Sus scrofa: one gene and its partner. Each later gene encodes a partner of the first gene's protein in a complex. Links are inferred from orthologs where the notes say so. Each region holds a gene or a part of one and is shown on either strand. Other genes may lie near its edges.

What was found.
Region 2: the proteins of PRKAA1 (region 1) and PRKAB1 are in contact, whole or in part, in a crystal structure (PDB 6C9H), measured with the Homo sapiens proteins. The link is inferred for Sus scrofa from reciprocal best matches to the Homo sapiens genes PRKAA1 and PRKAB1. Residues at the interface, in NP_006242.5 of Homo sapiens: Gly20, Val22, Lys23, Ile24, Thr32, Lys40, Lys42, Asn59, Arg60, Ile63, Arg64, Val69, Ile72, Arg73, Ile76, Gln77, Val93, Ser95, Thr96, Pro97, Ser98, Asp99, Ile100, Phe101, Met145, Met175, Ser176, Asp177, Gly178, Glu179; in NP_006244.2 of Homo sapiens: Pro79, Val81, Arg83, Leu103, Pro104, Thr106, Val113, Ile115, Asp159, Phe160, Glu161, Val162, Phe163, Ala165, Leu166, Met167, Val168, Asp169, Ser170, Gln171, Arg201, Ala202, Pro203, Pro204, Ile205, Leu206, Pro207, Pro208, His209, Leu210.

The regions. Positions count from the first base shown.
Region 1 is NC_010458.4:25,762,964-25,766,782, forward strand, and holds part of PRKAA1 (5'-AMP-activated protein kinase catalytic subunit alpha-1), read right to left. Parts: intron 1,945-3,819; coding exon 1,803-1,944; intron 174-1,802; coding exon 80-173; intron 1-79. UniProt on the Homo sapiens protein: Catalytic subunit of AMP-activated protein kinase (AMPK), an energy sensor protein kinase that plays a key role in regulating cellular energy metabolism.
Region 2 is NC_010456.5:33,215,070-33,218,988, forward strand, and holds the start of PRKAB1 (5'-AMP-activated protein kinase subunit beta-1), read right to left. Parts: upstream 2,558-3,919; 5' UTR 2,181-2,557; coding exon 2,022-2,180; intron 1-2,021. UniProt on the Homo sapiens protein: Non-catalytic subunit of AMP-activated protein kinase (AMPK), an energy sensor protein kinase that plays a key role in regulating cellular energy metabolism.

The DNA of each region.
Region 1 (3,819 bases):
GCTTTCTGGTATTTTTTGATGCTAGTAAGGGATAAGGGAAGTTACAAAATATATATAGGATTAAATCAGAACTGCTTACCCTTCCATTTTTACAGATATAATCAAATAGCTCGCCTCCTGAAACATATTCCATCACCATGAAAATATCAGATGGTGTACTGATGACCTGGTACCTGGTGAGAGAAAACATTGTCTACCAGTATTAAACACGTATATTCATTCATTCAATAAATATTTACTGAGTGCCTACAATACACCAGGCATTGCGCCGGGAGCTGGGAAAACTGTAGGGAACAAAATAAATTCTCTACTCTCATGGAGTTCGTGTTCCAGGAGCCAGGAAACAGACACTAAGTAAAAAGGCAATATCTCAGGTGGTGGAACATGCTATGAAGAGGAGAAAAGCAAACTAAAGGGAATCATTCAGACAGGGTGTTCAAGGAAGGCCTCTCTGATGAAGTAACACTTAAGCAGAGCCTTGGAAGTGAGGAAACTAACTCTGCCATTATCTAGGAAGACGGTAAACCCGGCAGAGGAAACAGCAAGTGCAAAGGCCCCCAGGTGGAAACCTGCCTGGCAGGTTTGAGCAATGGTAGGAAGGCTGGAACAGAGTGAGCAAGAAGAGAGAAACAGGATGTGGCCTCCAAGAGGTAACAGAAAACCTTACAAAGACCTTACAGCCATGATGAGGCTCTGGCTTTTATTCCATGGGAGAAAGAAAGCTACTGAAGGTTTTAAGCAAAGTTGTCCTGTGATCTGGCTGATTAAAAGAGTAACTTTAGTTTACAGCAGTAGTGTGAAGAACTGACTGGGGGCAGTAAGGTGGTAGTAGGTGGCTACTGCAGTGGTCCAAGAGAGAGATAAAGGTGGCTCACACTGGGTTGATGACATAAGGAACTGACAAACACTCAGATACTAGATTTATTTTTGAAGGAAGAGATGGAATGGAGGGTAGGAAGTGAGAGAGATAGGAAAGTTAAGGATAGTTCCTGAGTTTCTGCCCTGAGGATATTAACTGAGATGGTGAAATAAAGAGTTCAGTTTTGGGCATGTACCTCGTGCATACCCCAATGGAGGTGTAAAACAGGCTGTGGACATATGAGTCGGGAATTAAGGAACAAGTTTCAAAAGAGGAGATGTATATTTAACGGTCGCCAGCATAAGGATGGTACCTAAAACATGGCACCTCAACAAATGAGAAGAGGTGAGCATGAAACAAATTCTGAGTTAGCCAGTTCAATACAAAAGTCTAAATGGTTTTCATTCACAGCCTGCATAATAAAGCTGAACAGTATACAGTTACCTATAGACCCTACAATTGGCAACTATAAAACAATGATAGTATTGCCACCTTTTGAAATGTTGAATTCCTGAAATCTATTATTTGTTATTTGCTTTATCAGATATAAGCAGTGGGGGGGGCAGAGGGGGAGGGGAGCCCTTTCTACTGCAATGTCTCTAGTGAGGCTGACATGTGGAAATTTGGAGGTCAAGAGTTTTTACTAGCAAATCATTCTTGGCGCTATAGCAATAGGGGTGCTGCAGGTGATCTATCAGAGGGGCATCAGTCCAGAGGACAAGAAAGAATAAGATAGATAACACCCGATAAGCACAAGGGCAAAACATGGACATAGGCTTTAGTGACCGTGAATGGGGTTAGATAAATACATAAATGGGAAGAAGTTTTAAAACCCTCAGGAACAGACTGAAGAAATGTCACTCATCTTTCTCACTTGTCAGATTAAGCAGGTTAACAAAAATAATGAGAAATAACATGTACATTTAATATAATCAGATCTTACAATTTAATTATATGAGGATGCCTGAAAAGCTTGAGGTTCTGAATTTCTCTGCGGATTTTTCCTACTACATCAAGGCTTCGAATCTTCTGTCGATTGAGTATCTTCACAGCAACTTTATGACCAGTCAATTCATGTTTGCCAACTGTAGGGGAAATAATTTTAATAAATTAGTGCCAGGTTTGATTAATAACATACATAGAACTATTCCAAGAGTAATAATCTTAGCAATCTCTGAAAATACTTGAACAACTCCAAGTTCCTTTCAATTCTGCCTGATTTATCCCTGAATGTTTAGATGTTTAAGAGTGAAAGTGGGAAAATAATACTAGTAACAGTGGTCTCTTACAGAAAGAAAAGCTGGAAGGCTAAGGGAGAGAGAAAAAGAGACTTCCTTTTTTGCTCTCTTTCTGTACTTTGAAATCGTCTTAATTTACTTTTCATGTTTTAATCTATCAAACATGCAAATTGAAGTTTTTTCTGTGGTATGCAGTATTAGAGATTTTAACCCAGGTAGACATTGGTGTAACCACCATTACAATCAGATACAGAATAGTTCCATCATTCCAAAAACTCCCTCATATTAAACATACTTCCTCTATCTATAATCACTTGAATCATGAGCACATAGCTTCTATGTTATTAAATAAGAAAAAAAAATTTAAGTGATTATCTTTCAATTTTGAATGCTATAACCAGATAATCAATGGTTACAGTAGAATTTAGACATTTTTTTTTTTATAAAGGCAAAGTCACCAAAAATTTAGCTTCTATCACCCTTTCTCAAGAATCTAGGGGAGAGGCAGTTCCCTGGTGAACTAGTGGTCTATGGGCTAGTGGTCCATGGGCTAGTCCATGCTTTTGCTGCTGTGACCCGGGTTCAATTCCTGGTCTGGGAACTGAGATTGCAAACCACACAGCTGCACACTACAGCCAAACAAACAAGTTAAACAAACAAAAACAAAAGAACCTGGTGGAGAATATATATTCCATCAAAATCAGGAAGGAAATCAAGATGACAGTCAGTAAAGATGGAATCAAATAAATATAGAGGAAAAAGAACTCCCAGTACGGTAATGAAGAAAATCCTAGGTAACAACTATGTAGAAGGCTAGAAGGCAACAAATCCAGACCAATATTATTATTGAGGACCAGGATGGTTATTTCCCAGGAGGTGGGTAGGGAGTGGATAGGTGTGGAATAGATAAAAATTAAATGTTCTATAAGAAAATATATTCATAGGGGAGTTCCTGTCATGGCTCAGCAGAAACGAATCTGACTAGTACTCATGAGGATGCAGGTTTGATCCCTGGCCTCGATCAGTGGGTTCAGGATCCAGCGTTGCCATGAGCTGTGGTGTAGGTCACAAATGCGGCTTGGATCTGGCATTGCTGTGGCTGTGGTGTAGGCAGGCAGCTCCAGCTCCAGTTACACTCCTAGCCTGGGAACCTACATATGCTGTGGGTGTGGCTCTAAAAGGACAAAAAAAAAAAAAGAAAGAAAAGATAGTCATAGTATTGGCTTAGCAAATAGTTTTTATACAGTCACAATTATGAAAACACCAAATACAAATTTTTTTAAAAGTATGACCTAATTACAGTAGAAGAATGAGAGTGTAGAGGAAAAGGTATAAAAGAACTAATATCCTGGACATGGAGGGTATTATGCTTACTGAAGTACATCGTAAGTCGGACAGTCTCCTCAGCAAGTGGTGTTGAGAAAACTGGATAGCCTCATGTAAATCAATGAAGTTCGAACACTCCCTCACACCATACACAAAAATAAACTCAAAATGGCTAAAAGACTTAAATATAAAACAGAACACCATAAAACTCCCTAGAAAATTACATAGGCAAAATATTCTGACATAAATCGCAGCAATATTTTCTTAGATTGGTTTCTCAAGGCAAAAGAAATAAAAGCAAAAATAAACAAATGGGGAGTTCCCGTCGTGGCGCAGTGGTTAACGAATCCGACTAGGAACCATGAGGTTGCGGGTTCGATCCCTGCCCTTGCTCAG
Region 2 (3,919 bases), on another chromosome or scaffold:
AATTCAAGACCAGCTTAATGAATGTTATTTTCCTTCCTTAAGCAAAATTTTGAAGTACACAAAAATTTCTCACGACCGTTTCAGAGCTGTCAACTTGAAAACTGGCAAATCCAGGCTCTAAGGAAGCAGAAACCTATTCACTGAGCGCCATCCAGGCACCAGGGAGAAGTGGACAAAGAAGATAAAGACTGGCCCTCATTACAGAAAATAACTGCTTGTGTGGGAAGTGTATAACCGAGGTATTCTGGAACAAGACAAATAAACCTGTTTAGCTCTGGGTGAAGTATATGTGGTTTTGGGTCTCTTACATTGTTCCTAGTCCAAAAACAAAGATGAAGAGAGCAGGAGCTGAGAGAGACTCTTATAGGTCTCAAGTAGGCTTCTAGTATCTTCGCTTCAAATACTGACCTGAGCTCACACAGAAGATACTTGCATTCTTTGAGTTTTCACAAGATCTACAGATTAAAGAATAACAGACTGGAATCACTTTACACTGAGGGTGTGATAACTAATCACAGCCAAAATGGTGAACTAGTGTAGTTAAAAGAATCCATGACTTTTTTTTTTTTAATCGGCATTCTATCCAATGTGTCTGCCTCATCATTTCATAACTTCTGAGGAAGTAGTAATGGAAATTATTTGAAATCATTCTTTACAGAGTATCCGTATGCCAAACATTTCTTGTAAGGTTTTAAAACAGCAGAAGAACAAGTGCTTCTTAAAGAAAATGGTTTGATTCTTAGGGTGTCTTAAATGGCTGCCCTTGGGCCATAATTACTTTTGGGGGAAGGGATGTCTAGTCATCGAAGAAACAGGATCCCAAAGTTCACTTTGCACACAGCAATGGAATGCAACAAATTCAGAAAGCAAGTTGAAACCACGGGCTGGAGGGCCAAGTAAAAGCAGACTCTTTAGAGTCAGCCTCAGAGCCAAGATCCAGGTGAGGACAAAAGACAATAACGTGACTCAGCCCAACATTTGAGAAAAAAAATCTGAGTACAGAAGGGATGAGTTACCAGGCAATTAGCCTAATGGACAGTGATGATTAACAAGCAAGCGGATGGTAACAGAATGCGTGTGTGTGGGGGAGGAGGGTCATCTTTTTCAAACTGACTTTGTTGCACTGCCCTTTAAGGAATTTTTTTTTTTTTTTTTTTTTTTTTTAAGGGTATACATATACCTATCAGCTGCTAGAATCACTAAATGTCCTTGGACTGGGCCCTGCCTTCTAGAAAGAGACCACATGATGCTTAGCAGGAAAGTAGCTGAAGCAGGAATGAAGATTTTTGTCTTCAGAGTTTTTTAAGAGTTAACAAGCCGACTGAGGCAGGATGCCCAAATGTGGCCTGCAAAAACATTTGCTTTGGCAAACATCAACATTAAACATTAAGTTTAAGTCATATTTAAACAACAGGAGAGAGAAGCTGAGTAGCAACTGGCTGCCTCCTTCAGACTAATACTTCACTTACTGACCTCCAGAAGTCAAATTACTTTTCTATGCCTGCTCTAAAGCGTGAACCACAAGTTTAGGCAACACTAAAGATCTCTGGGAACTGCGGTCAGCTGGTGAACACTACTATCACCTTACAGGTGTTCTGCCTTATCTCCAAAATTGAGGATAAACTGCAAAACTATTACAAAAAACGCCCGTGTGCATGAAAGTGGTAAAAGATTTCTCAAAGCTCTGAAATTAATTATACCTAAGAGAAAAGGAGCGACTAGAGCTCAATTACTGCTAACTCCACGATCTTAATTAATTAAGGATTTGAACCTGTCCCAGAGCTGCCTTTGCCTTAATGATGTTAAACGAAGTGAAATCCTCCTCCCTCGGGGTGACTTTGTCTTATCGATAATTCGACACAGGTTCCTGGGTTACTAAAAGGGCCATCTGGATTTTAAGTGCATAGTGTGAAGTATCACAGCTCTCTGACTTCTGATCATTAGGGGAATATGGCGGGAGGATCTAGTAGCTCTCAAAAGAAATTAAGGAGAAACGGATCCCTCCACCCCCATTACCTTACCTTAATTTCCTCGGAGTGGTAGAGGTCAGCGTCCTCAGGGCTGTCCATCAAGATTTTGGGCCGGTCCCCATCCTTGGAGCCCCCCGAACTGTCCCTTCGGGGAGTCTTGTGACCCCCTTGCCGGTCCAGCGCAGCGCGCTCACTGCTCGTATTACCCATCGCGGGGGTTTACGTGGACACCGGGAAGCCGGACCGAGCCTCTGCCCAGAGAAGGGACCGGGGACTCCCGGGACCTCCACCAGGACCCGGGAGAGTCGGAGCACCGGGTACCACACCCCTCAGAATAGGGTTCGAAGTTGGGATCCGGCCTGAATTTGGCCGGCAGGGCTGGCGAGGTCTCACAATCGCGCTTTACCTGCTCAATCAGCCGAGGGGAGAAGGGGAACCTACCAAGCTCCAAAGACAAGCCGACACTTAACCAACAACTCCCCCCACCTCTTAGGAACTTCCGCTTCCGGCACTTCCTCAAGTCGGCGGGGGCCACCGGGTGGGGGGTGGCTGCGCTCTGAGAAGAGCGCCAGGCAAACGGACCTCACTTCCGCTTCCGGTCTACGTCCGTGCGTTTACTAGCCCCAGACCGCCCCTGCGGGTTTCGGGGAGCGCTGTCGCAGTTGACCGCTCCGGCCGCCCGGGACGAGGCTGCTGAGGGCCGGCAGGGGGTGCTGAAGCGCGCCGGCCATGTGGGACGTCCTCCCCACGCTGGGATGAATGATGGTGTTAGATACCCTGGTTATCTTTGCCCACTTAAAGTTGATTCTTCCCTTTACAGCCAAAGGGGTCGTTCTAAAAGGCATATTTAGTTAAGCGATTCCTTAAAGATCTTTCATGTGCTCGCTCTCACACCTTTGAGTGTGTTAGAATCACCTGGAGTGCCTGTTTAAGATGCAGATTCACTTGCCCCTAATTCCTGGGAATTGTGATTCTGAAGCTCTGGCCTGGGATCTGCATTTTAATAAGCACACCAGGTGATTCTGATGCAAGTAGTCCTGCAGGTGTTTGAGATAATGACAGACCATAAGCTCTCTGGAAATTTCTCACATCTAGTATCTTGTGGGTGGGGGTGTGTGCATAAAAGGCAGGAGAAACACGGAGACAGAGTAAAGGAGAAAAAAGCTAGTTTTTATTGCTTTGCCAGGCAAACGAAGCTACAGCAGCCTAATCCCTTAAAGACTGTGCCATCCCTTGGGGGGAAATTGAAGGGAATTTTATAGTCTAAAAGGAGAAAAACAAGGTTCCAGATAAGAGACAGGATTCTTCTTACTTTGGGGGAATCTTGGTCATCAAAGTGGGAATCAGGAGATCTCGGCATGATCACCGTCTTCTGGGTTATTGCTGAGAATAACATTACTTGTGAAAAGGGCATATTGATCAGAGATTAGAACTAGGAAAGTTCCTGGAAAACATCACAGCTAATAATCTTTAACTCACAGGCAATTGTGTTCAGGGTGCCTAAACTTTAGTTTACAGGTGATTGTGTTTAGGATGAAATCAAGTGAGGGAGAAGCACAAGGAAGGGCTCTAAGGTGTTCAGTTTTAAAGTATTCATTTCCAAAGGAAGCATAAAGAATATAACTTTTCTCTTGGTATATAAGACGCCTGCATCATTATGTGTATCCCTTGAGAGGGAACCAGAATCCTGCCCCAAGGCTGTACCATTGTTGCTTGACTGATTCTCTCTTTGTCTCTCCTTCCTTCCCTGATCAGTAGGTGTCTGAACCTGCCCCTTGGAACTCAGGGAAGGCCAACAAGGCTGAATGAGGCACATTTCATAAAAACAAGAAATTGGGGACACAGAAAAGTTTTTGTGCCTATGAGCCCCACAGGGCCCTGCTTGGTTACATTATTAATGTATTTTCAAAAAACTGAGGGGTGCACAACCTTTTGATAGGCAGTTTTGC